Diceros bicornis minor: one gene and its partners. The protein of the gene in region 2 interacts with the protein of the main gene of each other region in a pairwise test. Links are inferred from orthologs where the notes say so. Each region holds a gene or a part of one and is shown on either strand. Other genes may lie near its edges. The genes, in order: NCK2, LZTS2, PRKAB2 and PQBP1.

Region 1 (7,911 bases), on a different chromosome or scaffold from region 2:
GAGCCCTCATAACTCAACAGGCCCGGAGCTCAAGATTCATGTGTTCTATCAGTGTGCGCTGGCCATCCATGTGTATAGGGTATGGACACAAAGAAACCACAGGGCAGACTGTGACAAATGCCTGTGTATGTGCCGGGGGGAGGGTATAACTTGCTGATGTTGATTATACCTTCAGAAATATACATACTTTGGGATCCATTCAAAGTGAAATGCAGGAAAAGAAAAAAATAGTCTAATTTTTTAAACTGTGTTACTAAATGGCCTAAAGAAATAAAAAACTATTTTTACTTTAGCTGCATACTTTTGATAACCCATTAAAAGGCTGTCTTGACCTTCTTCTAAGCTGCTTTTCAAGCATTTAACAACATACATGATATGATTTTTAGCTTAGGCCCTTTGAAATGCCATGAAAGGTTTCAATCATTCATCCTAAGAAAGAGAAACAATTTGGAAGCACCACTTGCAATCCCTCTAGATGGGAAAACTAATTTCCTAAGCCTCTTGGATGAGTTGTGGGGAGTTTCCAGTTCATTTGTGAAAAAAGTTAGCTTACTAGTTTTCCCAAACATCATCCACCGCCCTGCCCTGCAGTTCCAGCAAGCAATCTTCAGCTCTTCAGTCAATCAGCCTCATCTTTAATGCTGGAGGACCGTGTCCACGAGCCCCCTCTCCCCCAGTGCACACTGAAGCATGTGTGTCCCAGAGAGCAACACAGCCTCATGGCCAGGGCAAATGAAGCTAACGCAAGTGATCAAGTAAAGGACTCCAGGTCACTCCGGGCAATCAGGGAGTCTTTAGGGTATTTCGAAAGGTTATCCAGTTTGTGCACATACAAGGAAGATTTCCGGTGTATTTAATATGGATGATAGCGCGTTTCCAAACACTGTGTACTTAAGACCTACTGTTTCTTGGAAAACTTCAATAATCCCCCAATGCAAATGACAGAAGCTGGGAATATGACAGGGTCAAACAGATCAGGGATGAAGAGAATTTAAGTATATAGCATGTAATAAAGCAAAACACAAAGCCTGGAAAACTGAGTACAGCTACTTGAAATGCATCTTAAACAAGCCCCGCCCATTTTAAAAGGGCCAGTTTCTCCACAAGTGGGCAGAGGGGGTGAGGGAGCAGTCAATTCTCCAGTGGCAATTTGTGACTCAATGTCATCCTGCGTTCCAGGATCAATCCTGTTAGTGTTTATGTAGCAGCTGAGAAGCTCGCGGCCCAGGTGAGGCCTCCAGGAGAGGAAGCTGAGTTGGGCTGGGCACCTCCACAAGCTTACCACTGCTTACAGCTCTCAATTTCAGCCTCAAGGAGCTGCAGCCAGAAGATCGCTAAGATCCAGCCACTTTGTTCAATCAAAAGTACATCTAACCAACCTCCAGGAGAGAAACACTAAGAGAGGATTTTCCCTGGTGGTCACTTCTTCACAAGCATGATTAACACTGGTTTCTCAGGAAAGCCCTGTTCCAAATACCTAAAAACCTTCATCTACAGCCCACTCTCCCGGTGAAGCCCACTTCTCCAGCTGCCCACTGACCACCATTCTCTCTATATAAACGCCACACATGCTCTAGTCCTGTTACTAATATACCCGTTTATCTACCAACACTGGGTAAGTGAACTAAGGGAGTGTTCAGTAGCAAAGTTTAGATGTTTTGATAAATTAAAGCAGCCCAGGTTAATTTCATTTTCAGTCACTTTAACACTTGAAAAGCACTGTTGCTAAGGATATCAAATGCAGTGGTATGAAACACACCCCAAATTACTCTCATTCCTACCAAAATCCCTTCCTTCCGAAAAGCCGGACTGGGCCTAGACCAGGAAGGAGCTCCCACACCTGTGGGTCCGCGGGAAGCCATGCCCACGGGCCTCTCGGGGTTCAGTCTTTTTGGGGGGAGTCAATCGAAGGAGTAGGCATGCGCGATGTTTTAGGCTCCCCAGGCCCAGCCCTTGGGCCTACTCATCCCATTATGCAGACGCAAACTTTGCAGATTCAGCCCTAAACCTGTCGGCAAAATAAACAAAGCCACATAAAGGAGAAATTGCCAACCTGAATTGTCCGAAGTGACAGAGGCCGACTACACACACGTTCCTGCTTTGTCCCTGAAGCTGTTACAGGGCCAAAGTCAGGTGCCTGGTGTTCGTCAGCCAATGACCCCCAGCATCCCGCGTGGACCTTCCAAGGCGATCGTTACTGTTTACAAATGAAAGCGCTTTGCAAATTAAACCCCTCCACACGATGCCCCGATAACTGCGCTCACAAGGGAGTTACCGTCAATACCTTAAAAGTCACACACCAAATTCTTCCAGAACCACTTGGTAGTTAAATCACTCTGAATAAACCAAGAGGGCAGAGCGATTGTGAGAAACTTTCTTTCGGGTGGCTGTAAGAGAGTCCTGTAAATCTGGGACAGGACGCAGAGCCTGAAACCCGGCACAAAGCGCCCTTCGCCGAGGCGAGGACCTCCTTTATGCGATGTGACAGCAGCTTTGTGCGGGGTCATAAACAGTCCAATAAACACAGTAAGTTCTCCGGGCTGCGCTCGGCCTCCCGCGTCCCTGCGCTGGGGCCGGGCGATCCCCGGCCATTCCTCCCGGGGACTCTCGCCCAGGCGACCTCGGCCACCGCACGGCCCCACGCCGGCCCCCGGCTCCGCGCCCGCGGCCGGCCCGCAGGCCGGGCGCTCCCCGCGCGCCCCGGGGTCTCTGGTCCCGGAACCCCGCGCCCAGGCCGCTGCCTTGGCGGCGCCAGCGCCGACCCCGGAGGGTGGGGGCTGGGAGGGCGGCGGGAAGGTGCGGAGCCGGGAGGCGCGGGCAGTCCGCCGCCACGGGGGCCAGGCCGCGGCGGGGCCGAGGGCACCAGGGGGGCGCGAGGGACCCGCTCCCGCAGCCTCCTCCCGGGCGCGCCCCGCCCCGCGAGCCCCGCCGCGCTCCAACTCTGCCGAGCGGCCCAAGTTGGCGGCCCCCGCCCCGGGCCGGCCGGCCGCGCTTACCTCGCCGAGGGCCGCCCGCCGAGGCCGGAGGGCAGCGGCGCGGGTCCCGGGGCGGCGGCCGCACCGCGCCCGCCCAGGCGCCGCTCTTTGTTTGCGCCGCTCCCTCCTCCCGCCGCGTGGCGGACGCTGCCGGCCGGGCGGACCCCGCCGGCCCGGGCGCCCGAGCCTCCCCGCCGCCGAGTCCTCCCCGCCGCCCGCCGCCCGCTCGGCCGCGCGGCTCCGGCCTGACGATCTCCGCGGCGGCGGCGGCGACCCCTCCCCCGGCGCGCAGCGCCCGCCCCTCCGCGCTCTTCCTCCTCCTCCCGCCGCTCCTCCCCGGCCGCCGTGACACCGCCCAGGGGCCGGCCCAGGCCCGTGCGCCGGCGGGGGCCCGAGACCCCCCGGGGGGCGTGCAGGCAGCTCCCGGGCCCGCGCGGCGGCCGGGCTCGGGAACGGCGCCCGGAGGGGACCGGGCTCCGCATGCCCTGCCTGGGGGGCGCGCGGCCGCCCGGCCCCGGGGAGACCCGGGCGCCAGGGGGAGGAACGGGTCTCCGCTCCCAAAACTGCTCGCACGGGGAGTAGGCGTCGGGGAGGGGTGAGGGGACAAGAGACGAAATAAAGACAGCAACTTCCACCCTGAAAGGACTGGTGGGTGATCTGTCCATCCTCTTTTTGTTTGATTTTCTTATCACGGCGCTCTAGTTGTTTGGCGACCGCCCCCCTCCCGGAAGCATTCCCACGGCACTCTGAGCAAAGCAGGCCTGTTGTCCATCAGAAAAGTGACTTACATAAAAATGTCACTTCCTCTCTGTAATTGCTTGTGAGCATTTTTATTTATTTGCCTTGTATCTATTTACTTTCCCAACCAGACACTCTTACTCCATCTTTCCTGTTGGAAGCACTTCTTAAGACGAGAGGAACCCAACCTCAGCTGCCTCCCCTGCGTCGTGTCCAGCTCAGGCTCACCCACAGGGGCACAGTCCTGTAAGGAGCTGCGGGAACGTGGCCCCAGAAGGAGTGGTCACTAGTAGTGGGACTGGTCTGGTCACCTCGCCACACGTGGTGGCTTACCTGTGAACAAACTTGGAAGATTAAAACCCAATTGTAAGGGGAAAGACACAGTTTCCTTTTCACAGGCCCATGCATCCAGATGTCTCTTCTCCAACTTCCTTCCCATATGGCCTTCCGGAAAGGGAAGCCTGCTATCCAAATGATTCTGATTTCCTGGCGGAATAGCCTGGATCCATGTTAATGAGATTCTTTCTTAGGCTCCCGGCTTCTCATTATTATTAAGGCAATAACAGTTTATCCAAGGTGACAAGGCCGTGTCGTTTGAATGGCTCACCCCTGCCTTGTTCCCGAAAGGAAGTATTGAAGGAGGGTAACTAGAGCCAGTATAATTTTGAAGTCATAGTTGAGGGTGTGGACTATCTGCTTCTTCAACTGTGGAACCTTGCACGGGTGTTTCTTAACCTCTCTAAAATCTAGCCAATGGAGAGAGAGTATTTACCTCACTCTGCTGTAAGTCCCTGGCACACTAGCTGGAAGGTCACTAGCTGGAAGGAGGTGCAGGGCACTGAGCAGGGATGGGTCAAAAAACAGGGAATCAGAACAGCCTCCTTCTCTTTGACTTGGGAAAGAAGCTACCTCAGTTCATCCTTTCGTGAAGATTTTGTCTTACTAATAAGAAAAGCAGAATTATAGTAAATGGTCTGGTCCAATTTTAAATTACTTTACTCAAAATAAGTATAACAACATTGACCTGATTTTTAACTTGTCTGCTTTGTAAACTTTCATTGAATCATGGTTCTGGAACCCCTCTTCCGTCTCTGATTCTTTGTAAGGTCACCAAGGACGTTCTCTATCTGAAACCCAATGTCCGTTTCTCAACCTTTATCTTAATAACGTTTCTGCTGTTTCCTGAAATGTGGTCATCTTTTCATTTATCTAACAGCTACCTTTCTGACCTGCCCATGGCTGTTCCTTGTAGGCCATGTTGTTCTCCCAGCATCTAACAGTAATATCCCAAAGACTTTGGCCCTTTGTTTTTATCCTGATGTGCACCTTTTTTTTTTTTTAAGAGAGTTGATCATTTTTTGTATGCTTCCAGTCTGGATATTCAGTGATTAACTCCCAGATCTGTAGCCTTAGGGAGCTCCCCAGCTTATCTGCCATCCCTCTGAGCAGCTCAGCCTCTCTTCAATACCACCAGATTCAGAATGAAACTTGCCTGCTTCCTAAACCAGCTCCTCCTCCCACGGTCTTAGGCTTGGCCAAGAGTCTACCAGGCATCTCAGCTCTGAAAGAAAAAATCATTGCAATTTGATTTCTTCCCTTCCTCTCTCCAAGCTTTCCCCAAAGACAGGAGAGGACCCTAGGTGACCTTGGGATCCCTCTTATGATCTCATACATCCTCATGATTCTGAGTCCTGGTGATTCTGAAACATCTCTTGATGGTACCTTCATTTCCATTTCCAATGTCACCATCCAAATTTTACCTTATTACTAATAATACTTGTGTACCTTTTTTGAATTCTTTACATATATCATCTGTAACTCACACATGATGGTATTATCCTCATTTTACAGATAAAAAAACTAAACTAGTAAGTGAAAGAGCTGGGTGAGAACTGCACACACTCACCTCCAAAACTCCCATTCTTTCCACTGCACCCGTTGCCTTCCAAGTGGCCTCCCGTTACTCACTTCCTCCCACCCCCAGATTCATACTGAACATCAGTGTCTTCCTAACTCTCAGAAAAATTGCTTCTATCTTGCCCCTCCCCTCTTCAAGAACTTCCCATGGCTCCCCACGGCTCACCACAGTTCCTCAAAAGTCCTCTGACAGCAAAGGACTTGAGCCTTTGCTCCTAGGAGGGCTGAAGAATTGAGCTCTAAGATGCCTATGTTCGCTTCCTGGGGCGGCCTTAATAAATTACTTCAAACTGGGTGGCTTGAAACAGAGAAGTTTACTCTCTCAGAGCTCTGGAGGCGAGTCTGAAATCACGTTGTCAGCAGGACCATGCTCTCTCAGAAGGCTCTAGAGGAGAATCCTTTGCCTCTTCCAGCTTCTGGTGGCTCCAGGTGTCCCTTGGCTTGTGGAAACATTACTCCAATCTCTGCCTCTGTCTTCACACGCCAGATCCCCTGTGTTCCTCTCCCCTTCTCTCTCATAGGGGCATTTATCATTGGATTTAGAGCCCACCCTAACCCAGGATGATCTCATCTTGAGATCCTTACCTTATAACTTCCACAAAGACCTTTTTTCTAAATTCGGTGACATTCACAGGTTCCAGGTGAACATGTCCTTTGGGGCTACCGTTCAACCCACTACAAGACCCAGCATGGGCGAGACATTTCCTTGAAGCTGATGGTTTATCTAAAAATGTAGAGGTTTCTGCATTCTACTCCATTAGTATATCTATGTTTGTTTTACTATTGAAATTTCTTCAGTAATGAAGTATTGAAAGTGCAAAACGTATAAACTTTTGCCCCCAAATCACATCGGCATTAAATCCTAAGATTTCCCTTCTAAAGTCCCTGGAACTTAGTCCTGCCCTAACAATCTTGTTGTTTACCCTGCCCTAATATAAGCTACTTGCTTCAGTCCCTCTGCTTTCCCCACTGTGTCCCACTTAGTCACACTAATCTCCACCTCCTATACTGGGGACACAGCAAGGGATTTCTCATCCCCCTCCTCTTCAGAGTTCCATGCAAGCCTTCCTCTAACCCTCTCCTTGGAGTCACAGAGAACACAAGCTAAGGTTGAGGGCGCTGTCTGAGTCCAGCTTCAGAGGCCCACAGCCTGCCTGCAAGCCTGTGACTTGGGATCATCTAACCTCTCCGGGCCTCGGGTAGTAATAGTGCTCTCATAAAGAGTTGTGAAAGTTAAATGAGATCATGTAAACATCTCTCAACTATGGGTTTGGCACATGGTAAATACTCACATCAGCTTTTCCATGACCTTCTATCTTAACCGTCAGTACAGTTAAACATTTCTAGTATATTTCTATTTGTAATGCATTATAAGAGTCAATTCAGAAGAAACAAGGGTAAGTGGAGTTTTTAATCTCACAGGAAGGGCAAGACCAGTATGCAAATACCATAATATAAAGCTAAATATGCAAAGTACCAAGTGAAATATGTTCTGAGAATCAGAAGAGGCTGTAGGTTTTATGAAAGCTGGAGGCATTAGGAATGGACCTGGAGAGATGACACCTGGAAAGCTACTATAATTTGGCTGCCCTACATCCAGCCCCCTTACTGGTTTTAGGAAGGCCCCTGTCTGACCTTGGTGGGAGGCAGAGTAGGCTCCTCCCTCTCTCCACTCCCAGAAGCCCTGTGAGAGTGAACAGCCTGGGACTGGCCAATAGAACCCTCCCACCCGGGACTTTGAACCTGGAGAGGGTGGCCAAAAGGAGGGAGGATGAGATTCAGTGAGCTTTTGCTGGAAGAATCCCAGAACTTCCCCATAGAGGTCATTAACCTGCTTGGTTCTCGCCCCTTCTCCTAGCTCCTCTAGCCCCGCTGTGAGCTACTTATTATTCTTTGAAAAATTCCTATTCTGCTTAAGGTAGCCAGAGGCCCTTTCTTGCAACCAAAACCTCTGAATGATGCAAACTATAGGATTTTGAAAGTTGAAGACAGAGAGGAAATTCCCAGTACAGGATGCTTAGAACCGTGACGACAGAGAGGGGGAATGTGGGAGAACTCCATAGGAACAGGGAATGCCCTCATTTGCCTGAATGCAGCAGAGGATGCCTGCAGAGGATCCTGAGGAGATAAGACCTGGAGATAGTAGTTACGTGTGGACATCATCCGGGCTTGGCGGCAGGGTACCTCATTTGGCGCATGTCCCACAAACGCCTGGAGGTAGGAAGCACAGTTAGAAGTCTGCATTACTTAGAGTTTGGATGTGGGTTGCTGCAAAGATGTT
Region 2 (8,159 bases):
AATGCAACATGCAGTTTACGTCTATGACATTTGTCACGTGGTCATCGACAATCTGCAGTTCATGATGGGTCACGAGCAGTTGTCCACAGACAGGTGACATCCTCCTCTTGTCTAGCTGGAACCCACTCGAACACACATGTCTTCTCAGGCAGCTGGCCTCTAGGCACACATGCTGTACTCTCTTATTTTCTGATGTGTTTGCAAGCACACACCACCCCATGTGTATTTTTGTCTTTATAGAGGTGTGGGGTGTGGCGGCGGGAGGTATGGACAAGGATCTAAGAGTGAGTCCTTGGGTAGAGGGAAGTAGAGTGGGTTGTGGTTTGTGGGGAGATTTGAATGAATCAAGAGTATGTGTATGTTCTTGTCTTTCTGTGTGTGTCCAGTAACCTCTTTGCTTTGTTGGGGTGAGGACAGGATTGCAGCTCAAGACTACATCGTTGGGGCCTTTCGGAAGTTTGCAACAGACAATAGCTGCCATGTGACACTAGTCATTCATCCCCGGAAGGAGGATGACGATAAGGAACTGCAGACAGCATCCATTTTTGGCTCAGCCAAAGTAAGTGGCCTTGAGAGGAGCCCAAGCTTTGGAGACTAGAGGGGGCAAGTGTGAGTGGGGACAGCCCTCATTCAGCCTTAAATCATTCTGACTCTCCTTCTGGAAAAAGCAGGAGGCAGCTGCCTCTGGGGCCATGACATGAGGAATACAAGGGCTAGGAATACAAAGGCTGATAATAGTTGGTCCTTTGCCCTCCTTGCCTCCTAGGAGCTCACATCCTCTAGTGGGGAAACAATGAGACAGTAATTACAACTCAGTATTATAAGAGCTATGACAGGCATCACAGGTATTTGGGGAGCAAAGAGAAAAGATATCTGAGTCAGCCTGGGACATCCAGGGGACTTCCTAGAGGAGGTGTCAACAAAGGTTGGGTTGAGTTTTGGCAGATAGTAGGTGTTAACCAAATAAATGGGAGGACCTTCTGGATAGCAGGACCAGCCTGATCCTGGAGCTTCCAGTGGTACACTGAGTGCCTATTACATGCCAGGCCTAGGCTGGCCACAAACTATATACAAACTATGTCCCACAATGAAACAAACATGAAGAGAATAACACAGAAAGGGAAAGATGGTGGTGCCTTCTTTCAAGAATGGTCTCTCTGATGAAGTGTGACATTTAGACTGAGACCTGAATGATAAGAAGCTGGGTTTGAGTGGGGTGGCAAGCTGTGGAGGAGAAGTGTTACAAGTAGAGAGAACAGCGTGTACACAAAATCTGGGACAGCAGCAAGATGGTCAAGGAACTGAAAGACTCAGGTGGGCCCTGCGTTGTGGTCAGTATTCAAAGAGCGTTGGTGATGGGGGAGGGGGCATATTTCTCCCTTCCCCCATTCGTGCTGCTCCTCCCTGCACCCTCAGCCTTCCGTTTTGCTTCTCTCTTGCGTCTTCTCACTGCTCCTTCCTCCTCTTCCCCCTGTCCTCAGGCAAGCCAGGAAGCAGACAATGTTCTGATTCTGCAGGACAGGAAGCTGGTAACCGGGCCAGGGAAACGGTATCTGCAAGTGTCCAAGAACCGCTTTGATGGCGACATAGGTGTCTTCCCCCTTGAATTCAACAAGAGCTCTCTCACCTTCTCCATGCCACCAAAGAGCAAGGCCCGGCTCAAGAAGATCAAGGACGACAATGAGCTGGGGGCCAAAAAGCCCTCTTCTGGCAAAAAGGGGGCTGTGCCCCAGAGCTCTGAGACTGGCCGGGCCCCCATCCCCTCCCAACCAGACCCCTCCAAGCCTTCAAGGTGAAGGCAGTGCAGAGCTGGACACTGACATGAGCCTGACAGGATAGGCTAGGGCCTAGACTCTTGGCCCTCTGCTTGGGCTGCCTCTGTCCTGTGGTCCTGAGCTAGGGCCCTTCTTAGTCTGAGGGGCCTAGCCTAGGGCAGGGTTTCATAGGGAGAGAATTCAATTTAGCAGATATTTGAGAACCTACTGTGTGCCAGGTTTTGTTCTAGGTCCTGGGAGTACAGCACTGACAAGAGAGTGAGGTCCCTGCTTCCACGGAACCTGCAGTCTGGTGGGGGACAAGCAGTGAACAAAGACACACAACATAATTTTAGATAGTGAAAATGCTATAAAGAAAATAAAATAGTAATGTGATAGTTCTTACAGGGCTAGTTTAGATTAAGGTCTGAAAAGGTGTCTCTGAGCAGAGGACATTGAGCGGGGGCCTAAAGAACGAGGATTGAGCCATGTGAACATCTAGAGAAAGAGGGATCCAGGCAGAGGGTAAAGTAAATACAGGCAGAGGGCAAAGTAAATACAGAAGCCCTGAGGTGGGAATGAACATGTTGAGTTCAAAGCAGTGGGGTCAGGCCCCCTGGACCTGGAGGGGAATAGGAGACTTCTTGCCAAAACTCCAGCCTAGACTTGCAGAGCCAAAGGGTGACATGGTGGGTACCAAGCTCCTCTGCTCCCCACTTTGGGGCCTGCCATGAGGTGGTACTCACTACCATTGGATTCTAGGTGCTCGGCCCTGTAATATTTGGGCCCCAAAGGTGGGAGAGCCATGGAAGGAAGCTTTGAGCCCAGAGTGCCTGCCACCTGGACACTGATTCCATGGTATGCTGCCTCAGACCACTAGAGTAAATGAAGTCATGACTTTTTGTAAAGACTTTTCCAGTTTTACAAAAAACTCTTTTTCCATTGCCTTTGTTTCTGTGCTTTTTCTTATTTGTCCACCAGGTGTCTCCCCAGTCTATGACTGGATTTTCCTCTCACTTTGAATTGGGAGTGGATGGGTCCCCAGTCCCACCTCCAGTCTTTGAGCTGTGTACTCCCAAAGAAGCAGGGGCGTTAAAGGGCCTTCACAGACACATCCCCTTACACCTCTTCTTGGCCTACGGAAGACAGGGTGGTATCTCTTTATCCGTATCTTCCCTGAGGATCTCCATGTGATCCCTGGCAGAGGTGTGGGTCACTGGACCACATGCCTAGGCCCTGCCTGACCAGCTGTCCCTCTTTTATATGAGCCACTCACTGACCTCTCAAAATGTGGACTTGGGCTTGGCATCTATTTCCCTCCTCATGCCCTCTCAGTGTTTCTCTTTTGTTAAGTGCCCGTCAGAACGCCTGGGGCTCTTGTTAAAAATGCAGAACCTAGGCCCTACTTTTCCGCCAACCCTGACACACAGACTTTTCTGATTCTGGAGGTTTGAAGAGGTACAGGATTCCTCATTTTTAACAAGCTGTGAAGGAGACTGTAAAATAAATTATCCAGAGACCCTGTCAGAAATATTCCTAAATGATAACACTTTGCCACCTCACTTCCTCTGATATCCTAAAGTCCCAGTTTCCCTTCAGGTTGGCCTGGAAGAGTGGTGAGAATGCAAGATGTTCTGAGGGGGCCCGGAAGAAAACTTTTGTAAGGGGAGGGGCGTGCTTTCCTGCTCCCTGCAAGCAGGGTCTGCCTTATCCAGGTCTCTCTGTTAACCTAAGAGGGGTTTTCTGGGACCCTGTAGAAGGACATGGGTCTCTGTTGTGTCTGAGAACTGTGGCTACAATTGTTTCCTGAAACAGAGCCTGGAGCAAAGCTGTTCTCTGAGGAAGAACCTGGGGGGAGGGAGGGTGTAGCTCCTCCAGGGCCTCCTCCTTGGGGGTCTCTCCCAGACTGGCTGGAGCCAGGCCTCCTAATCCCTCAGTAATCATTCCCAGCCGCTGGCTGGTCCAGGCCTCATCCAGGGTCTACAACATTGAATGTCAGCCATATCTTCCACATGCATACCACCAGGTCAGTCCTACCTATGAGGACATGGGCTCCACATTCTGGTCTACCGAGAATACCTGGTGTGTTCTCAGGAAATCCTTTAGGGGTTTCCATTAGGGGACCTTTGTGAGGTCTGTGTATGAATTGGGGATAGAGGGATAGATACACACTTGCCTGTTTGTTTTGCCCCACCCTCCTAGCAGACACCCCCACACAGCACAAACCAGAATGATGGGGGGGAGGGGAAGCTAATGCTCCCCCAGCCCCACCCCCTACACAAACACATTCCATTCCACACCTGTCTTAAACTCACATCAAGATTAGCCCAAAGTATATTAGGAGTCCCTGGAGCCTAGAAAGCAGTGAGGGATCCCTGGGTCCTGTGTGAGGTCCCTAGGAGCCACTATTCCTGTACCCAGTCAAAGTGGATTGAGGCAAATTACCTGCCTATGGATATTAAGAATCTCCCTGAGAGCTCAGGAAGGGCCTGGCTGAGTGGGGTCCAGCTGGATCTGCAGCCTTCTCCTCAGATTCAGTGTCACACTTGGCTGTGAGGGGGCAGCTGTAGTCTTCCAGCAGCTTCTTTAGTTAGGATGGGTTTGAGAAAGGACTAAACTCACCGGTCTTCCGCTGCCCAAGTACTCAGGCTGGAAATCTGGCCCTGATACTTGCAGACGTCCCAGTCTGTGCCTTCTGACAGGCCGCCTTGGGTGCCATGAAGGGAGGGAGCCCTAGGTGCCTCCCTGCAATACAGGCCAACTTCCTGTTTGTGCCTGTGGGTGGAACTTTATGAGTCTAAAGGAAACCTGGCCATGCTCTGTGGGGGGCCAGACCTGGCAGGCCTGCTCACCTGGGCAGACACCTACTCCAGGGGTGGGGGAGCCGCTGGTTCTACCTGGGCAGCCCCAACCAGAGATTGGGGGGGGGTCTGTTTTGGTGAAACCCGAGCCTTCTTTGTCTGCTTCCCAGGGTTTTTCCCTGTGTCTAGTGAGTGGGCTTAAAGTGGACCAGGTTTGGCAGTAGTAAAGTGGTGGCAGTAAAGTCTTATAGCCGGCTTGGTTAGGGCAGTCAGGTAACTTAGCTCTCGGTCACGTGCTGCTCGCCCCTTCCCCAGGTCGAAAGTCAAATCCAGTAAACTGTGAAGTCAGAGGCCAGAGGGGCAGCCTCAGGTCACCATCGAACTACTGCCGGGCTGGGTACAGGGTCGGCTGTTGAGGGGGTGGTGAGCAGACCACTCCCCTCCCTGGGTCGGGGGCGCGGCCTCAGCCGCCCCGCCCCGCTCCACCAGGCCCGGCCAGACGGGCGCCCGGAGTCCGGAGCCCGGAGCGGGCTTGAGAGCCGGCGGATCCGCGGCGAAGAGTCGCCTGCGCTGGAGCAGGACCCGGGCAGGAGCTGGAGCCGCGGCGCAGGTGGCGCTGGGTGAGTAGTGGGGCCGCGGAGGTGCAGGATCTCCCGCCTCTCGCACATCCCCGCTCCGGAGCGAACTTTCCCGGTCTGGGGAGACTGGGGGTTGGGGTGAGGAGGGGGTCCTCACTCTGGGGGGCGCAGGCGAGGAGTCTGAACAGGGAACCGACACAGAAACTCGCACTGACGGGCCCACACACGCGTGTACGCAGACCCACGCGTGCACTTGGGAAAAACGAACACACGTGCACTTCGGGAAGAACGCGCCCAGTGGGTTATCCTTGCAGTCCCTGGAGCAGCGCCACTGGCGCGCGCGGACCCCCAGCAGACAGGGCGCTCTGCTGTCGCGTACTTGACGGGGGTGGGAGAAAAGGGCCGCCCCGGTGACCGCCGACGGGGGCGGGCAGGGTGAGACATCTCCGGAGGTTTCTGCTTCCCAGCTGCCCGCAGGTGAAGACTAAGACATAAACAAGCGCCGAGCACGTGATCGATTCGCAGACAAGTGGGCTGTGCACCGCCCCCCCCCCCCCCCCCCGAGTCCAGGGCAACTTTGCAAGGTTCCATGCCGGGCAGTATTCCTTTCTCCGCCTCCCCCAGAAGTGGGAGCACAACGCCCCCTGGAGTTGGGGTAGCGCAGAAGGACGGAAAATTGTGCTGGGATGGGGTTACCTGGGCTCCTCGCCTGCCTTCTCCCCAATACGTTCTCGGTGCCTTCCTCCCTGAAGGTATCGGAGGGGGGCGCTATTCTTGATGGCAGTGTGCAACAGCCCCCGCCACATGCCTCCAGCCTGGGGAGCAGCTGCCTGAGCGCCTGTGGGTCCCCTTCCTACTACCACTCCTCCTTGCAGAACTAGGAGCTCCTCCCCCCAGTGCAGGAGCGGAAAGCCCACTCGTGCAAGAGTGGGAGTCCCCCGTCCCCAGAGAATGCATGTGTGTAAACATCCCCTCAGTACCAGAGTGGGCCTATCTCCCTCCGGTAGAAGGGAGGGCGAACCCCCCTCCCCCCCAGCGAATGAGGGAGTGGGCAGCGGTCCTCGGCCTCCCTCCCCACCCCACCCCCACCCCTACACACACGCTGAGCCCAGCTGCTGCCTGAGCTTCTGGGCAGGCTGCCAGAAAGAGGAGGAGGCTCCTGGTGCCCCAAGAGGCTGGGATCAGGGCAAGGCCAGAGAAGGGGGTCTCTACTTGGGAAAGGGTCTCAGTCTGCTTTCAGTCTGTCTCGGGGTGAGCCTGAGGGTGGCTGGGCTGTGTTTCCCTTTCCAGGGAAAAAGAAAGAAAAACAACCCTTTCCATAGAGCTAAAAATAGAGCTGAGAGCTGGCCAAGGCTGTGGCCTGGAAGGGGGGGATGCTTCTTCCTGGGGCAGAGGAGCTCTGGCAGACCTTGGCCCTGGGGTGGGTGGTTAGGGGGCGGGAGGCTGTCCTTGTCCAGGGGTGCAGGCATCAGCTGACCTGACTGGGTCACAGAGACCCCTATGGGGAAGTCTGTGTGGTAGAATGTTTGTGAAGTATGTGTATGTGTAAGAAGTTGTCTGTGTGACTATGAATAAGACTCAATGTGTGAAAGATGATTAGAAGACTAAGTGTATTTAAGATTGTGACTGGTTGGGAAGGACTATGACTTGTGAAAGACTGGGCACAAGGTGTGTGACACCGAGTGTGTCTCTGTGAGTTAGCCTAAAAGACTGGAAAGAAGGAACACGGAATCACGTGATGGATGAGACTGTGATTGTGGCCGTGTGAGCCTGAATGTGGGAAAGGTCGTGTGGGTGTTAAGAAGCTTGTGTTGTTTGCGAGAGGGTGAGGATATGTGTAACCCTGAGAAGACAGGTGGAATGTTGTCCACTGTGAGGCTGCTGTAGGTTTGGACTTTAGGTTTGGACCGGCTCACTCCAGGGATTTTTGGGGGCTAGGGCTGCCTCTCTCTGGACAATGACCTTTCTCTTAGCAAATGACTCTGGGGGAAGGTCTAGGAGCACAGAGCCACGCCTGGGGCCGGCCTGGGCTGGCGGGGGAGAGGGTACAGCGCTGAGGAGTCGGATAAGGGCCCCCAAGGTTGCGGGGTGACTGGGTGTGTTCTCTGGATGGGCCGCCAGGGGGCGCCGCCTCCACAGATCCAAGTGTGCCTCCTCCAACCCGCTGTGGGTGGGGCAGGCACAGCCCGAGCCTCTACCCCTGACCTGAGATGGGGCGCAGGGCCCGGGCAGCCGGGGACAGTGGGGGGCAGCTGACCCTCGGCCTCCCCCTCTGGACTCCGAAGCCTGTGTCTTGGGGGAGGCTTCGACTAGAGGAGCGGAGGGGGAAGGGCGGCCGCCGCGAAGCCCGGCCCTTTGTGCTCGGACAATGATCAGCTGCCGCTGGCCCCGGGGCCCGCGTAGGGGTAGAGGGTGACCCGCCGCCGCCAAGTCCTGAGCCGACCGACCCCTAGACACACAACCACCGGGCCTCGGAGGAACGGACTCTGAATGCAGCCGTGCAGGCCTTGCGTGCGCCCCGCCGGACAGGCGTGACGCGGGCTGCTTGCGCGTGTCCGCCCCCCGGGGCGGGGACGCCCCTCGGACCCCTCCCCCGCGTTGCACCGCCCACTCGGGCCGGGTGGGGGTTGGCCCCGGTGGGGGGCGCCGCGGAGGCGGGGCCGGGTCGGCCTGGCTGCTCCGAGTGGCCGCGCGCGGGCTGGAGCCGGGCGGCGCGCCTGTGGAGCGCTGGGGCGGCCCGGGGCTGAGCATGGAGCAGCGCGGCGGAGGTGAGGGGGGGCCGGGGCCGGGGCCGGGGCTGGGGCTGGGAGGCGACCTGGGGCGCCCCCCACTTCTGCGCGGCGGGGGTCCATTGGGGAGGCGGCATTCCACGGCTGCCCCCACTTTATGGAAGCGGAGGGGGGGTGGACTCTGGAGGGTGGGTTGGGGGCTCCCGGCTTCCTGTCGCGGAATGGGGGCTCGTGATCCCAGACTTGATCCCGCTTGACTGGTCCTTGGAGTTTGGTGAGGGGGAGACTTGCCCCAAC
Region 3 (7,778 bases), on a different chromosome or scaffold from region 2:
AGTAAAACTATCACTATTTGTGGATGATATGATTTTATATACAGAAAATCCTGAAGACTCCACCAAAAAACTATTAGAACTAATAAATGAATTTAGTAAAGGTGCAGGATACAAAGTCAATATACAAAAATCTGTTGTGTTTTTATATACTAACAACAAACTATCAGAGAAATTAAGCAAACAATCCCATTTACTATTGCATCAAAAAGAATGAAATACCTAGGAATAGATTTAACCAAGGAGGTAAAAGACTTGTACACTGAAAACTATAAGACACTGATGAAAGAAATTGAAGAAGACACAAATAAATGGAAAGATATTCCATGCTCATGGATTGGAAGCATTAATATTGTTAAAATGTCTATATTACCCAAAGCAATCTACAGATTCAATGCAATCCCTATCAAAACTCCATTGGCATTTTTCACAGAAACAGAACAAACAATCCTAAAATTTGTATGGGACGACAAAAGATCCCAAATAGCCAAAGCAATCTTGAGAAAGAAGAATAAAGCTGGAGACATCATGCTCCCTGATTTCAAACCATATTACAAAGCTATAGTAATCAAAACAGTATGGTACTGGCATAAAAACAGACAAACAGATCAATGGAACAGAAGAGAGCCCAGAAATAAACCCATGCATATGTGATCAATTAATTTATGACAAAAGTGGCAGGAATATACATGGGTAAAGGACAGTCTCTTCAATAAATGGTGTTGAGAAAACTGAACAGCCACATGCAAAAGAATGAAACAGGACCACTATCTTATACTATACACAGAAATTACTTTGAAATGTATTCAAGACTTGAACGTAAGACCTGAAACCATAAATCTCCTAGGAGAAAACACAGGCAGTAAGCTCATTGACACTGGTCTAGACGATGCTTTTTTGGACTTGATTCCAAAGGTAAGGGCAACAAAAGCAAAAATAAACAAATGAGACTATATCAAGCTAAAAAGCTTCTGCATAGTAAATGAAACCATCAATAAAATGAAAAGGCAACTTATTGAATGGGAGAAAATATTTGCAAATCATATATATAATAAGGAGTTAATATCCAAAATGTATAAAGAACTCACACAAGTCAATAACAAAAATCAAGCAATTTGATTACAAAAAAAAGGAGTGGAGGATCTGAATGGACATTTTTCCAAAGACATATAGATGGCCAAGAGGCACATGAAAAGATGCTCAACATCACTAACTATTAGGGAAATACAAATCAAAACCACAAAGAGGGGACAGCCTGGTGGCGCAGTGGTTAAGCGCGCGCGCTCGGCTTCGGCGGCCCAGGGTTCGCAGGTTTGGATCCCAGGCACACACCGATGCACAGCTTGTTAAGCCATGCTGTGGCGGCGTCCCATATAAAGTAGAGGAAGATGGGGATGGATGTTAGCCCAGGGCCAATCTTCCTCAAGAAAAAAGGGGAGGATTGGCATCTGATGTTAGCTCAGGGCTAGTCCTCCTCACAAAAACAAAACAAAACAAAACAAAAACCCCACGAACAGATATCACCTCACTCCCATAAGAATGGCTATTATCAAAAAGAAAAGTGGGGGCCGGCCCGGTGGCGCAAGCGGTTAAGTGCGCGCGCTCCGCTGCGGCGGCCCGGGGTTCGCTGGTTCGGATCCCGGGCGCGCACCGACGCACTGCTTGGTAAGCCATGCTGTGGCGGCGTCCCATATAAAGTGGAGGAAGATGGGCGCCGATGTTAGCCCAGGGCCGTCTTCCTCAGCAAAAAAAAGAGGAGGATTGGCGGATGTTAGCTCAGGGCTGATCTCCTCACACACACAAAAAAAAAAAAAAAAAAAAAAAAAAAAAAAAAAAAAAAAAGAAAAGTGTTAGGGAGGATGTGGAAAAAAGGGAATCCTTGTACACTGTTGGTGGGAATATACCAACAACAAGTATGGAGGCTCCTCAAAAATTAAAAATAGAATTATCACATGATCCAGCAATCTCACTTCTGGGTATTTATTCAAAGGAAATGAAATCAGAATCTCAAAGAGATTTCTGCACTCCCATGTTTATTGCATCATTATTCACAATAGTCAAGATATGGAAACAACCTAAGTGTCTGGCTAGAGATGAATGGATAAAGATACAATGGAATATTATTCAGCCATGAGAAAGAATAAAATCCTGCCATTTGAGACATGATGGAGGGATCTTGAGGGCATTATGCTAAGTGAAATAAGTCAGAGAAAGACAAATGTATGGTATTACTTATATATGGAATTTAAAATAAAGTTGATCTCAGAGAAACAGAGGGTAGAATGATGGTTGCTAAGAGTTGGGAGGTGGGGGAAATGGGGAGATGTTAGTCAAAGGGTATGAACTTTCAGTTATAAGATGAATAAGTTCTGAGGATCTAATGTATAGCACGGTGACTATAGTTAATAATACTGTATTGTATAGTTGAAATTTGCTAAGAGGGTAAATCTTAAGCGTTTTCACCACACACAAAAAGGTAACTATTTGAAATGACAAGTGTATTAATTAACTTGATTGTGGTAATCATTTCACAGTGTTTATTAAATCATCACATTGTACACTTTAAATATATATAATTTTATTTGTCAATTATACCTCAATAAACGTAGAAAAAATTAAAAATAAAATCAATGGTATTTGTTTTCAAAAATAGTTTCTGCAATGGTTGAGTAGTGTCTTGTGTATAAACTTGTATCTTTCCTCTTGCTAAAGCTAATTTTTAAAACACTATAAAATTGTTTTAATTTTTTCATTGAGGTATAATTTTCATACAATAAAACTCACCCTTTTTAGTACACAGTTCTGTAAGTTTTGACAGACACATAACACCACTACAATCAAGACATAGAACTGTTTCATAACCCCTCCAACATTCCCTCCTGTCCCATCGTAGTCAACCCTTCCTCTCACCCTCAACTCCTGGAAAGCACTGATCTATTTTCTAACCCTAAGTCTTGCTTTTTCAAGAATGTCATATAAATAGAGTCTGGCTTTTTCCACGTCTCATAATGCCTTTGAGATTCATCCACATTATTGTGTGTATCAAGAGTTTAATCCTTTTTATTGCTTAGTATTCCATTTATGCCTATACTATATTTTGTTTATTGATGCACCAGGTGAAGGACATTTGTGTTGTGTGCATTTTGGGGGAGATATGAATAAAGCCACATGTGTTTTGTACAAACAAACATTTGTGTACAGATTGTGTGAACTTGTCTTTATTTCAGGTGAATAAATACCTAGGAGTGAAATTACTAAACTGCATTTTAAATGTATGTTTAACTTTATAAAAAAGATCAGATTGTTTTTTGAAATGTAAATCACCAAGATGAGATGTCATACCCATCCCTGATCACAAATGGGGATGGAACCTGGAGAGTGGAGATGGTAATGTAAACCTCCAGATGCCCAATCTAACCTATCATCCAGTTCTGTAACACCAATATACTCTTTCCCCATTCCCACATCCTCACCTCTCAGAGGAAGTAGAATACATTTAGCAGTGTGCATAAAAGCTTATTGTTCTGTGAGGCCTCCCATGCTCTCTGTTATTTTCCTCTATCAGGCAGAATGGCTGATCCGAGACCAGCGGCAATGATGTCTGAGATACGGTAACATCAAGAGAACTTCCACCACTTACTTTGCCTATTACCTCCTTCTTTTCCTTCCCTCTGGAAGGAAAGATAGAACGTTGATGCAACAGCAATGAGTCTAAAGGGAAAAATTATACTGGCATTGACTAACAGATCTTGTTTCTTTACCTAGTAGGGAATGAAACATGCATATAATTACCCCTATTACAAAGTAAGAATTAGTAAATACCATGAGTTCCATTAATTATGCGTAAAAACCTGGATCTGTCCCAACCAGAGGACTGTCTTTGCCCTTTTCCGCTTTTAGTGTTCCTTCTGATGTTTTTGTTGTTGCTCTCTTTCTTGAATTGTACTTCTTTTGGGATTGCTCATTGCATATGCTGTTTCTTAGCCTAAAATAGCTTTCTCCATCTTCTCCTTAGACTAAAATTTCTCTCCTAATCACTCCTTCTTCCCAGGGGCCCCAGTAGGGCTGACTGCACCCCCAGCACTTAGTTTTAACCTGGAGCAATTACCACTACTTCCTTCTGCCTTCAGTGGGAGGTCTGTTTTCTTATTCTCTATAGGAACCCACCTCTCCGGTCGCCTATCACAAGGACGCTGCCCAGAAAACGTTCTGGTGAACCTGAGGCCAGGGAGGGGGCCGGGAAGAAAGCAGCGCTGCTCCTCCGGGTACCCGAGCACCCGGCACCCGAGCACAGGGAGGCCGCCCCCAGTGTCATTCCGAGGCCATCTAATCCGCAGTGAGCGCCCAGTGGTCAACACACGAACGGCTCCTGGAGCAGGCTCGCCAGGCGTGCCGGTGAGCCCGGCGCGCCGCTAACTGTGCAGCTGGCGCCCCCGCCTGACGCTGGAGGCTGCGCGCGGCCGCCCACCATCGAGGCGACGGCGGCTAGAGAGGCCGGCGGGCCCCGGGCGCCGCGGCGGCGCGGCCGCAGGGTACGCGCGCCGGGCGGCCCCGCGCCACTGGCTTTGTAGCCATTTTAGGAGGAGACACGGTTTGCTAGCTGGGGCGCGGCTTCAACTTTAATAACTTTATTGGTGGCGTTATCCGTAGAGCAGGCGTCGCGCCAGTGGCTGGGGGAGGAGGGCACGCCTCGCGGGAGGTGATTGGGGGTGGGGGCGTCCCTGGGCAGGGAACGCGGGGATGCAGGAGAGTCGCCGAAAGCGGGTTTCCTGAACAGCGGGCAGCGAGGGAGTCGAGGGTTTCGGGCACTCCTGGAGGCCAAGGGAGGGAGGGGACCCCGGGGCGCCGCTGCCCTGGGGCGGGGATTCCCTTGCCTGGGTCCCCAGGGGCGGGGCCGGGGGCGCCCCTGACGCTGCCACTGGGGTGTTCCCCGCTCCGTGTCGTTCCCTACGGCAGGTGGCCTCCGACTCGAGCTGCAGCCATGGGAAACACCACCAGCGACAGGGTGGCCGGGGAGCGCCACGGCGCCAAGGCTGCGCGCGCCGAGGGCGCCGGCGGCCACGCTCCAGGCAAGGAGCACAAGATTATGGTGGGGAGCACTGACGACCCCAGCGTCTTCAGCCTGCCGGACTCCAAGGTGAGCGTCCCCACGCCTTCAGTTGGTGGCGATGCTGCAGTGGGCTGGGTGTCAGGGCGCCTCCTCCCTTTCTTGGTTCTTTCTTATCACACTGACTTGGGTTACAGTTTTTTGAATTAAAGGGATTTTTTGGAGACGAGATGTTGGATGGTAATTCCTCTTGCGGTGCTGCCTTAAGATAGGATAGAGGCGGAGTTCTTGTTTTCCGACTAATCTGTTGGCCACATTTTTAGGATTGGGACAGTGGACCCCCCCCCCCCTTCGAATACAGGTGCTCACTTCTAGACTATTGGTGAATTTATAGGTTATAACCCTGGTGGAAAACTTCAGAGGGTTAGGTTGCCTGAGTTGCTAACCGTAGGCGGCAGTGTCTCAGATTTGCCCTGAGGTGGTTAAATGAATTTCTTTTTCCTGACAACTTCTACGTATCAGTATCCTTTTTGCTCCACTGGGAGCTCAGCACTTCTGATCCTCTTCCCCTTTGGCATGGCAGTGAGCAGCAACCACTTGCTTATTTGAATACTTTCTCCTAATCTTGGGGACAATAAAGGACATCATTTCGCTGACTGCTCCGTTTTCATCCCATACTTTATAGTTGTGGCTGAGCTTGTGCTTCTTTCACACTCAGCTGCTCCTCAAGTGGGAGAGCAAATGATTCCAGGATTTCTCCACTTCTCAGTCGTACTTCATAATGTTACATGGCTGAAAACTGACAACCCACCGCTGCCCTGAAGACCTTGCTCTCAATTCCAAAGACTGAGGAAAGTGGCAACTTGTATCCACCCTAAAGAAAGGATAGATGGAGCTAACAACAATGTGATTACCATCTGAATGTTTCTCATCACTTTTAGAGCTGTCAGCATTAAATTAATTCCTCCAGGTAGTCCAACTGGGATGAAGTAGAAAAGTGGAGAGATTGAGGAGATTGGGGTGTGTTTGACGTTTCTTGTCACTTCATCCCTTCGCACCCAACTTGGGTTTTAGAAAGTATATAGAGAATGATTTGCCTCGTTGGTAGCACATGATTTTGGATTCTGTTTGTTTTCTTGGATCCCAATTGAGAACATAATCACAGAAAGAGAAGCAAGGGTGATTGAAAGGACCACTTCTTGGTATTTCTTCTCCATTCCTTTTTCCTTCTCCCACTTCAGGACTACTTCCTCATCATTTGGGCTGTCTACCCAGCCATCTGAATTTACTTCTTCAAAACTTTCTCAAGGTGATCGACCTCATTGTATTTTTACCCTTTTCCTACATTGATGACTCAGGATTTAAGTATAGTGTATTTGTCAAACTGTGACCGCAGTAATCAGTGTCCTGAATAAAAGCCAAGTTGCTCTATCTGAAATGGAGCCTATTTTGGATCATTCTTACTCTTACCTCAGTCTTGCCGTTTGTGAAATAAGAAAATCAGTTCAGATAATTCCTAAAGTCTCTTCCAAATCTAAAATTTTGTAGTTCTCAATCTACTTTCTTTACTTCTTCCCTCAATGTTTTATTTGAACATTTTCAAACTATAGTTCTAATTGTTTTGTCTCTTTTCCTGATGATTTTGCTGACTATTTACCTTGGAGTAAACAATCTTTCTGCTAGTCAGCTGCACTCATGCCTACCACAGAAATGTCATGTCATATGTGGAAGGGCTTCCTTCCAAAGCTAGGCATATTAATAGTTTGTAGCTTTCAACTTCTAAACTGAAAATACTAAATCATCAAAGTAACTGATAGAAACAGTGGCAGTGGAGCCTACATTGCTTCCACTGCCAGCCTTCTTCAGTGGACTAGTTCAATGGTTCTCAATTGCACATTAAAGTTACCTAAATTTGTTTAAACACTTCATGGAAAATTTGAAACATTTTCCATGTTTCAAAGTAGAGAGAAAGTGTAATAAACTTTTAAACTTTTAGTTTAAACAATGATCAAATTGTGAATGAATTTATATCATCTATACCCCAATCTACTCTTCCCCCACCAATTATTTTGAAGCAAATTCCAGACATTGAATATTATTTTACCTATAAATATTTTAGGATATATCTCTAAAGATGAGGTTTCTTTCTTTGTTTATTTTAAAATAATCACAGTATTATTTTTCTGAGAAACTTTTTAAAAATAGATTCCCAGGTCCTATATCCAAATCAGAATCTGAGGGTTATTCTTAGGCATATGTGAAAATTTCTGTAATTCTAATGGAGCCAGTCAAGCCTCTTGCATTGCTTTAAGAATATGGAGGTCAAGGTTTTCTCTTAAGCCGCTTCCTTACATAATGTGAAAGTCCCTTCAATTCTCTTTCTCCGTGTACTTTGGATTATGCTGCTACTGATGTCTCATAGTGTAGTTTTGAGGGATATTGAGAGACAATATGGAAGGTAGATTACCTCAGCCATTTTGAAAATAAAGCCCAAATGAAGAAGCTAGCCCTTTTTTTTTTTAACCTTCATTATTTTATTTGGTAATATTTTGACTTGATATTGTACACAGTCTTATTTAGCAGAGTCATTTTAGCCAATCTAAAGTGGGGATCAGCAAACTTTTTCTGTAAAGGGCCAGATAGTAAGTATTTTAGACTTTGCAGACCATACAGTCTCTGTCACAGCTACTCAGTTCTGCTACTGTAGCATGAAAGCAGCTGTAGATAATAAATA
Region 4 (7,449 bases), on a different chromosome or scaffold from region 2:
CAGACAGTTAACTGTGAGGTCAGATTTGTCAGCCTTGGCAATGGGGGCACAGGGGGAGAGGTGGGGGGTGTTGGTGTGCACGTTTGTGGGGGTTGGGAGTGCAACGTGCAGAGCTACCCCCTCTACCGCGGCAATCCTTGTGTTCACTCACTTCTTTCCCAAGCCTGTTCCTCTGTCTGCTTATGATTCATCACTTGGCCCCCACACACCATTATTCATGTCCCTATTCACATCTTGATTCATCCTCCCTCCTGCTCATTCATCCCACGAACATATACTAGAGCCCACTCCATGTGTGATACCAAATCCTAGGGCTTCCCAGCCCCTGAAGAGGGCTCTGCCCGTTATCCTAAGGAGGGGCTCCCATGGTTAGCTCAAGGAGTACATACATAGGCATTTCAAAACTAGCTTTAAATACTCATCAGGGCATCACAAGAGGGACTGGGGTGAGAGCTTGTTACATGTGAGTGTGAGGCTGGGGTGCCCTGAGAGAGAAGGGGACCTATCCGTCAGGGCAGCTGGGGTGCCCCACCCCCACCCTGGGACAAGGCAGCAGAGTAGAGGCCCTCTCTGGAAGGTCCCAGGGCAAACTGGGAGCCAGCCCTCCCTTCGAGGTAGATCATCGGGGAGGGAACCGAGGAGGCGCTCCCACGGTGGCGGTGATAGGCGGTCACTTCCTCAGTGGTATTGCTGATAGCTGGGGTAGCCTGGGGCCGGGGTACCCTCCTTAGGGGGCAGCTGGCTGGGGTCCTCCAGGAACGGGGGTGCTGGAGAGGGGAGAACCAGGTAAAGGTGAGTGGAGGAGGCTAGGCAGAGGATTTGCCACCTCTCCCTGATCAGCTTCGCTAGGTACTCACCATTGCGGAACTGCTGGGCAGTGTAGCGAGTGAGGAGGATGCCAACACCCTCGATAAGGGCCAAGAGAATGCCCCCCATCATGGCCGAGCCCACCATGGCCAATGGGCCACCTGGAGGAGAGAGAAGGCAGGGAGAGAGAGGTGAGGGCAGGCAGAACAGGGTGGAAGGGGCTGGGGCCAGGGACTGGGGCACTTACTGCGGGCAGCCAGCACAGCCCCGGTCAATGCTCCACTGGTGATGGAGTTCCAGGGATCTTCCTTGCCCCGCAGCCGTACTAGGCCGCAGTCGATGGTGGAGAACAGGCCCCCCCACACCGCGAAGCTACCTGCAGGGGGACCAAGGCCTAATTAGTGTTCCTGGGGAATCCTGAGAATCCACGGCTCAGGGTCTGGGGACTTCCAAGGCCTGAGTGCTCTGGCAAAGAATGGGGAGCAAAACCCAGACACAAAGGCAGAGAGCAAAGGAGGTGGGGATAGTCCCCATCTGTCCCTGTGGGAGCTCCTTCTTCAAGCTGTCTATAATCGCCATCAACACTCCCTTCCCCTTCAGAGCGAGTTACAAGTGTTCAAAAGAGGTCTATCTTCTATATGGCTTTGAACAAAGCAACTCTGATCTTCACAACTACCACAAAGAGTTGAAATTCTGATCTTGGTTTCATGGAGAAGGAAGAGGTTAGGAAAGCCCGTTAACAATATGATAGCTAAAATGTTTACTGAGGCCTTATTGTGTGCCAGGGCCTGATCTAGGCACTGCATGCTATTTGACTTCTGAAATTTCAAATTAGTTAATATTATTAAAGTGCTCAGCAGAACAACCGGCACTTAGTAAGTACCATGTAAATTACATACATTACAAAACGACTGAGGTAGTTATTATCATCATCCCCGTGTTCCAGATGAGGTTCAGTGAAGTTAAGCCACTAGCCCAAGGTCACACAGCAAGGAAGAGCCAGGGCCTGGATTTAAACCCCAGAACTCACTCATATTAAATTGTTGGGAAACATCACTCCCCCAGGAAGTCCTAGGCAGAGTTGAGGCTAGAATATGGACCCCCAACTTGCAGTCTAGACCCAAAGGAGGAACCACCCCCAACTTTGCCATCACATCTCCTATGTCTCCCCAAGCCTCTCACCTCCAATCTGGGGGGCTCGGATCCTCACAGCGTTGACACTACCTCTCAATCGGTGCCGAACTCCCTGGGAGAAAGTGAGGAGGAGGGGAGTCAGGGCAGGGTTAAAGCGACTGGCAGACAAGGTTTCTAGCTTTTAACAGAGGGAAGGGGGTGGGAGACCTGTTAGGGGTATCAAGGGTAGAGACATGGAGAAGAGGCCAAGAACAAGGGGACTGGGGAGCACCTCACCATAGGTGTTCTCAGAGCTGGGTTGGGAAGCTCTCATTCATTCATTCAATGATTACTCAGCTCCTATGTGCCAGGCACCATGCTGTCCACAGGGATACAGCAGTGAATAAGGCAGACCTGGCCCCTGCCGTCTCAGAGCTCACATCATAGTGGCAGAGACAGATCTTGGGCAAGGGTACAGATAAACAATAGCTTCAGACAGCACTATGCACCCTAGAAGAAATAGAATGAAGAGGTATGGTAGTGGCTGAGGGGTCAGGAAAGACCTCTTTAAGGAGGGGGCATTTGTGCCGAGACCTTGAGGATGAGAGGGAGAAACTCAGGCAAAGATCCAGGAAAGAGAGTTCCAGGAGATGAGGGGAGGGACAGGGCTAGATGTATCAGTTGCAGAGACCCTGGCAAATGGATGGCATTTAAAGCCATGACATTTGATGAGATCTCCCAGGAGGAAGGGTATCAGAGAAAGAGACAGAATTGATTATGTTAAATTAAAAGCATTTTCTCAACTTTAAGGCTGCCCTCCTTCTGCCAATTAATCTCCTGTCACTTCCCTCTATCCAGGTTTCTGACCCAGAATCTGCCTCTAGGTAAAATCTTTGCACACACATTTAGGATTTAGCGATGACCATTTTGACAGCACAAAATTTCCACAGAGGAGCTCCAATTGGGTGCGGGGTGAGGGACAGAGGCCATGTTTGCAGTTCTCCCAAAACCCCTCATCCTGGAGCCAAGCCTGGCACATAGCAGGCGATCAGGAACCAGAATGAATAAGTGCATGTGACTGGCAGCTCCAAGCACTTTTCAGAGCAGTATCCCAAGCGGACAGGGCAGGATCCTGGCACCACCCAGGGAAGGCCAGGACTCACGACAGGGGCGTTGCGGAAGCCCTTGATGGCCTGGAAGACTCCGCCGCCGATGACACCCATAGTGAAGGCTCCACCGCAATCATCCACAATTCGCCATGGGCTGCAAGCGGGAAGGGGAGATGGGGTTAATGTGTGCCCTCCCCCATGCCATGTCACATGGACTTTCTAACTGGAAGAAACCAAGTCACCTGAAAGGGAAGTAGCACTTCAGATAATGAGATTATTTTTCCCCTCATTTAAGCAAGAAATAGTGCAAAACGGGAAAAATATTAGTCTTTGCCCAGTCCTACCCTCCCCTTCGCAGTCAACCAAGGAATCAGCTTTACTACTATCAAAGATTAAATGAATTGATACAAGCAAAGAGTTGGCACGTTTAAACAAGCGCTATAGAAGTGTTGACTAGCTAGTATTATTATTAAAGCAGTACAGGGTCACAGCCCCTTCTCCGACAACGAGCCCATCCAATCAAGCCCCGCCCTTTCCCCCTTTTTTAACCGCGCGCGAATGGGAAAAACCGAGAGCCGACCGTGGGGAGGATCCAGCACCCCCTCCTTGCCCAGAATAGGCTCATCCAGGCCCCGCCCCCATTAACTACAGCGACCTGGGAAAAACCACGCGTGGTAACCCTGGGGATTTCCGCTCAACACACCACCCCCCAGCTGGAATGGATTCGACCAGCGTGTCTTTTCGTTAACAAAGAGGGGCTGGGAGATACGTAGTCAGGGGAAACGTGGGGTGGCTCGTCCTTCACTTCCAGGTATACAGTTGGGGCCCCTCTTAACGGAGCCCGAGTGGGAGGAATCAAGTGGAGGGGAGCAAAGGAGACAGATTTTAAACGTCTCCCGAGTCTGGGATGTGGCGCTGTGTGGCCGGTGCCTCCCCCGCCCGCCTCCCACAGCTGGCCGTGGCACCACAGCAACAGTCCCGATGCCTGTGCCCATCGCCGTACCAAGGCTCCCGAGCGTACTCCTCCATGGCGCCGGCGTCCTGCCGCGCAGTCTGGCTAAACCCCGGCCGGGCCACGCCCCCACTGTAAACGCACACAGGCGCCCGAGCTGTCCAACTCTTCCAGGGCGACGATTGGGTCGCTTGGCCATACGTCAGGCCAAGGGCGCGCTCTCATTGGTCACCCCGGCTTGCGTCGTCTGTTCACCGCAGCCTGAGCGTCATCCAGTTACTCCAAGCCTCGGGGAGAGAGGACCTCGTTCTGTGCTTTGGGAGAAGAGAGTTGTGGGGTCCTGGTGATCAAGGGGCGACAAGAGAGAGGCGGCCGGTCTGACAGCCTTCCACTACCCGCGTGACTGTATTGGTAACGTCGGAGTGGGCGCATTTTTTGGAGCGGGAGGAAGTACTGCATTCTCCTCCCCCTTCTCAGCGCTTTGGTTCCTCCTACCCGGCAGTCTTTGGGGGACGTTGGGTGAACCCATTTCTGGGGCGCGGGGGAGCTGTGCTGGCCCCTTCAGCTATGGGTGGAGCCTGGGCCTGGGATAGGAACCCGGTCATGGAGCACCCGGCCTGGAGGGGAGGGTTGGTGAGAGTTTTGGTGATATTGCCATCTATCTCTTCCGCCTTCTCCCGCTTAGGTTCCGTCCACCCAGCTACTGTTGCAGGTGGGTAGGTGGGGGTCCAGATGAGTACATGCTCGGGGGAGGCGTTTGGTTACGGGCTCCAGATTTGAGTCCTCATCTGAGCTGGTTTTTAGTCTGTCCATCTGTCCCTAGGTCTGTCTGCTACCCGCTATGCCGCTACCCGTTGCGCTGCAGACCCGCTTGGCCAAGAGAGGCATCCTCAAACATCTGGAGCCCGGTGAGAGCTAAGAGCAGATGGGCCTACCATGTGCCAGGCTTGAGAGGCACTTTGTTGTTGAGACTGCCACTTGATAACTAGCATGGGCCTACTGTGCACCAGGCAGTGGGGTGGCAGGCATTTCACTGTTAAAAATGGGGATTCCTGACACCCATTCCTACCATGTGCCAGGCATGGGGGAGATAGATATTTCATCCTTAATACTGACAGCTGATGACTATTTTGGGCCTACTGTATGCCAGGTTCAATCCATCAATCAATCTATGGAAGTGGTTACAAAGTATCTAATAGTGAAGATAGCTGACATTTGCAGTCTCCTGTGCGTGCGCCAAGTACAGTGGCAGGATGCTAATACTTTGTTCTTTACCATACTCATAACATTATTTCAGACCTCCCATGGTGTCAGGCACTATGCTGGTGATACATACCTTATTGTTCACATTAATAGCTGACATGTATTTTGGGTCTACTAAGTGCCTGGCATACACATTATGGTTAACAGTATAAAATAACGATAGGATCTATCATTTAGGCCTACTGTGCTGCTGCTGCTAATATTTATACCTTGTCAATAATAGTAAAAGCTGGCATCTATTTTGAGCTATAGTATGCCGGGCACTGGAAAATACATCTTATTTTCACCGTATTGATAAGTGACATCTATTATAAGCCTACTGTGTGCCAGGCATAGATCTTGTGGTTAATAATACTGATAATGATCATTGATATTTATTTTAAGCCTATTGAGTACTAGGCCCTGTGCTGAGAGTATATATATCTTATTAAAAATACTGATGATTATAGCTGATATCTATTTTGGGCCTACTGTGTGACAGGCACTATGCTGTTGCTGACATATACAGGCATACTTCATTTTATTGTGCTTCGCAGATACTGTGTTTTTTACAAGACCCTCCACCAGCAAAAAGATTACGACTCGCTGAAGGCTGAAGAATGGTTAGCATTTTTTAGCAATAAGTACTTTTAATTAAGGTATATACATTGTTTTTTAGACATAATGCTATTGCACACTTAATAGACTACAGTATAGTGTAAACATAACTCTTAGGAGCAGTGGGAAACCAAAAAATCCGTGTGACTCACTTTATCGCAATATTCACTTTCTTGCGGTGATCTGGAACCAGACCTGCAGTCTCTCTGAGGTATGCCTGTGCATTTCATTGTTAGTTATTTCTGCAGCTGAAATCTGTGATAGGCCTACTGAAGGTCAGCTACTGGGCTGACAATATACACCCTTTTAATTTTACTGATATGAACTGACAACTGCTGCATGCTTACTATGTGTCAGGAACTGAATAGATTCAGAGCAGTGTTTGGATAAATCCCTTGGTATCCAAACTCTTGCTACTCAATATACAGGCGTCAGAAACCCCATATTTGCCAAGTTTGGGAGCTGAATAGATTTGGACATATTTTCAGATAAACCCCTTGCTGTTCAAACTCATTTGATCCAAACAGATTTGGATAGTGTGGTGTCACATACTACCTGAACTCAGGAACTGAATAAATATGGATACATTTGTTGGTGAATCCCTATCTAAACTCTGAAACCAGATAGCTTTGGGTAATAGCTTTGGGTAACATATCTTATGTGAACCCAGAAACAGAACAGATTTAAGTACAGTTTTTGGTAAATCCCGATATCCAGATAAGTGGCTTTGGAATGTGAGCAGTATCTGCCAGGGCCGGTGAGACCTGGCACACACACGTGGTCTGTGTGAATGCTAGTGTCTCTCCAGGCTCTAACTGTAGGATGAGAATCCCCCTGCTCCTCACTGCTCTCCTCCTCCCCCCGCCATGCCAGAACCAGAGGAAGAGATCATTGCCGAGGACTATGACGATGACCCTGTGGACTATGAGGCCACCCGGTTGGAGGGCCTGCCACCAAGCTGGTACAAGGTGTTCGACCCTTCCTGGTGAGCCTGGGGACCTGGCCAGGGGGGAGGGAACTGACTTCTGACTTCATCCTTCCTGTGCTGTCCCTGACCTCGGGTTAAGAGATCTGGGGGTCCTCCCCACGGGGTCCTGACATGGGCCAGGTAGAGGCGGAGACTGGGGAGACAAGAGTTGAGGCTACAAGGAGGTAACATCTGTGCTGACATTCCTTCTCTATCCCTCCCTCCCTCCCACTGCCCCACAGCGGGCTCCCTTACTACTGGAATGTGGACACAGACCTCGTGTCCTGGCTCTCCCCACATGACCCCAACTCGGTCGTTACCAAATCTGCCAAGAAGCTCAGGAGCAGTAATGCAGGTGAGTTGGCAGATCCAAGGGTGCCTCAAGGGCTTCTAGTAGTTCTCAGAGAGGGATCAGGTAAATGATAGTGAATCCAGGAGCATCAGGTGCGATAGGCAGGCCCAGCCCCAGGCAAGGGAGGTGGTCAAACACAGAGGCTGCTGGATCCTGAGATGGGAGAAGGAAGGTCACTTCAAAGCTTTCCTGTCCCCAGATGCTGAGGAGAAGTTAGACCGGAGCCATGAGAAATCAGACCGCGGTCACGAGAAGTCAGACCGGGGCCACGAGAAGTCAGACCGGGGCC

What was found.
Region 1: the proteins of LZTS2 (region 2) and NCK2 interact in binary tests that used the Homo sapiens proteins (3 or more experiments, as listed by UniProt). The two-hybrid records come from large-scale screens. The link is inferred for Diceros bicornis minor from reciprocal best matches to the Homo sapiens genes LZTS2 and NCK2.
Region 3: the proteins of LZTS2 (region 2) and PRKAB2 interact in binary tests that used the Homo sapiens proteins (3 or more experiments, as listed by UniProt). The link is inferred for Diceros bicornis minor from reciprocal best matches to the Homo sapiens genes LZTS2 and PRKAB2.
Region 4: the proteins of LZTS2 (region 2) and PQBP1 interact in binary tests that used the Homo sapiens proteins (3 or more experiments, as listed by UniProt). The two-hybrid records come from large-scale screens. The link is inferred for Diceros bicornis minor from reciprocal best matches to the Homo sapiens genes LZTS2 and PQBP1.

What each region holds. Positions count from the first base shown.
Region 1 is NC_080779.1:7,989,262-7,997,172, forward strand, and holds the start of NCK2 (cytoplasmic protein NCK2), read right to left. Parts: upstream 3,179-7,911; 5' UTR 2,997-3,178; intron 1-2,996. UniProt on the Homo sapiens protein: Adapter protein which associates with tyrosine-phosphorylated growth factor receptors or their cellular substrates. Maintains low levels of EIF2S1 phosphorylation by promoting its dephosphorylation by PP1.
Region 2 is NC_080745.1:66,189,924-66,198,082, forward strand, and holds the start of LZTS2 (leucine zipper putative tumor suppressor 2), read left to right. Parts: upstream 1-5,025; 5' UTR 5,026-5,175; intron 5,176-6,609; exon of another isoform or gene 6,610-7,901; intron 7,902-8,159. Other genes in the region: TWNK (twinkle mtDNA helicase), read left to right, coding at 1-93, 418-559, 1,482-1,796. UniProt on the Homo sapiens protein: Negative regulator of katanin-mediated microtubule severing and release from the centrosome. Required for central spindle formation and the completion of cytokinesis.
Region 3 is NC_080743.1:52,464,781-52,472,558, reverse strand, and holds the start of PRKAB2 (5'-AMP-activated protein kinase subunit beta-2), read left to right. Parts: upstream 1-4,553; 5' UTR 4,554-4,696; intron 4,697-4,862; exon of another isoform or gene 4,863-4,953; 5' UTR 4,954-4,978; coding exon 4,979-5,134; intron 5,135-7,778. UniProt on the Homo sapiens protein: Non-catalytic subunit of AMP-activated protein kinase (AMPK), an energy sensor protein kinase that plays a key role in regulating cellular energy metabolism.
Region 4 is NC_080781.1:42,157,095-42,164,543, forward strand, and holds the start of PQBP1 (polyglutamine-binding protein 1), read left to right. Parts: upstream 1-4,249; 5' UTR 4,250-4,392; intron 4,393-4,666; exon of another isoform or gene 4,667-4,693; intron 4,694-4,804; 5' UTR 4,805-4,822; coding exon 4,823-4,889; intron 4,890-6,714; coding exon 6,715-6,826; intron 6,827-7,050; coding exon 7,051-7,163; intron 7,164-7,359; coding exon 7,360-7,449. Other genes in the region: TIMM17B (mitochondrial import inner membrane translocase subunit Tim17-B), read right to left, coding at 679-767, 858-968, 1,055-1,183, 1,990-2,053, 3,084-3,183, 4,033-4,058. UniProt on the Homo sapiens protein: Intrinsically disordered protein that acts as a scaffold, and which is involved in different processes, such as pre-mRNA splicing, transcription regulation, innate immunity and neuron development.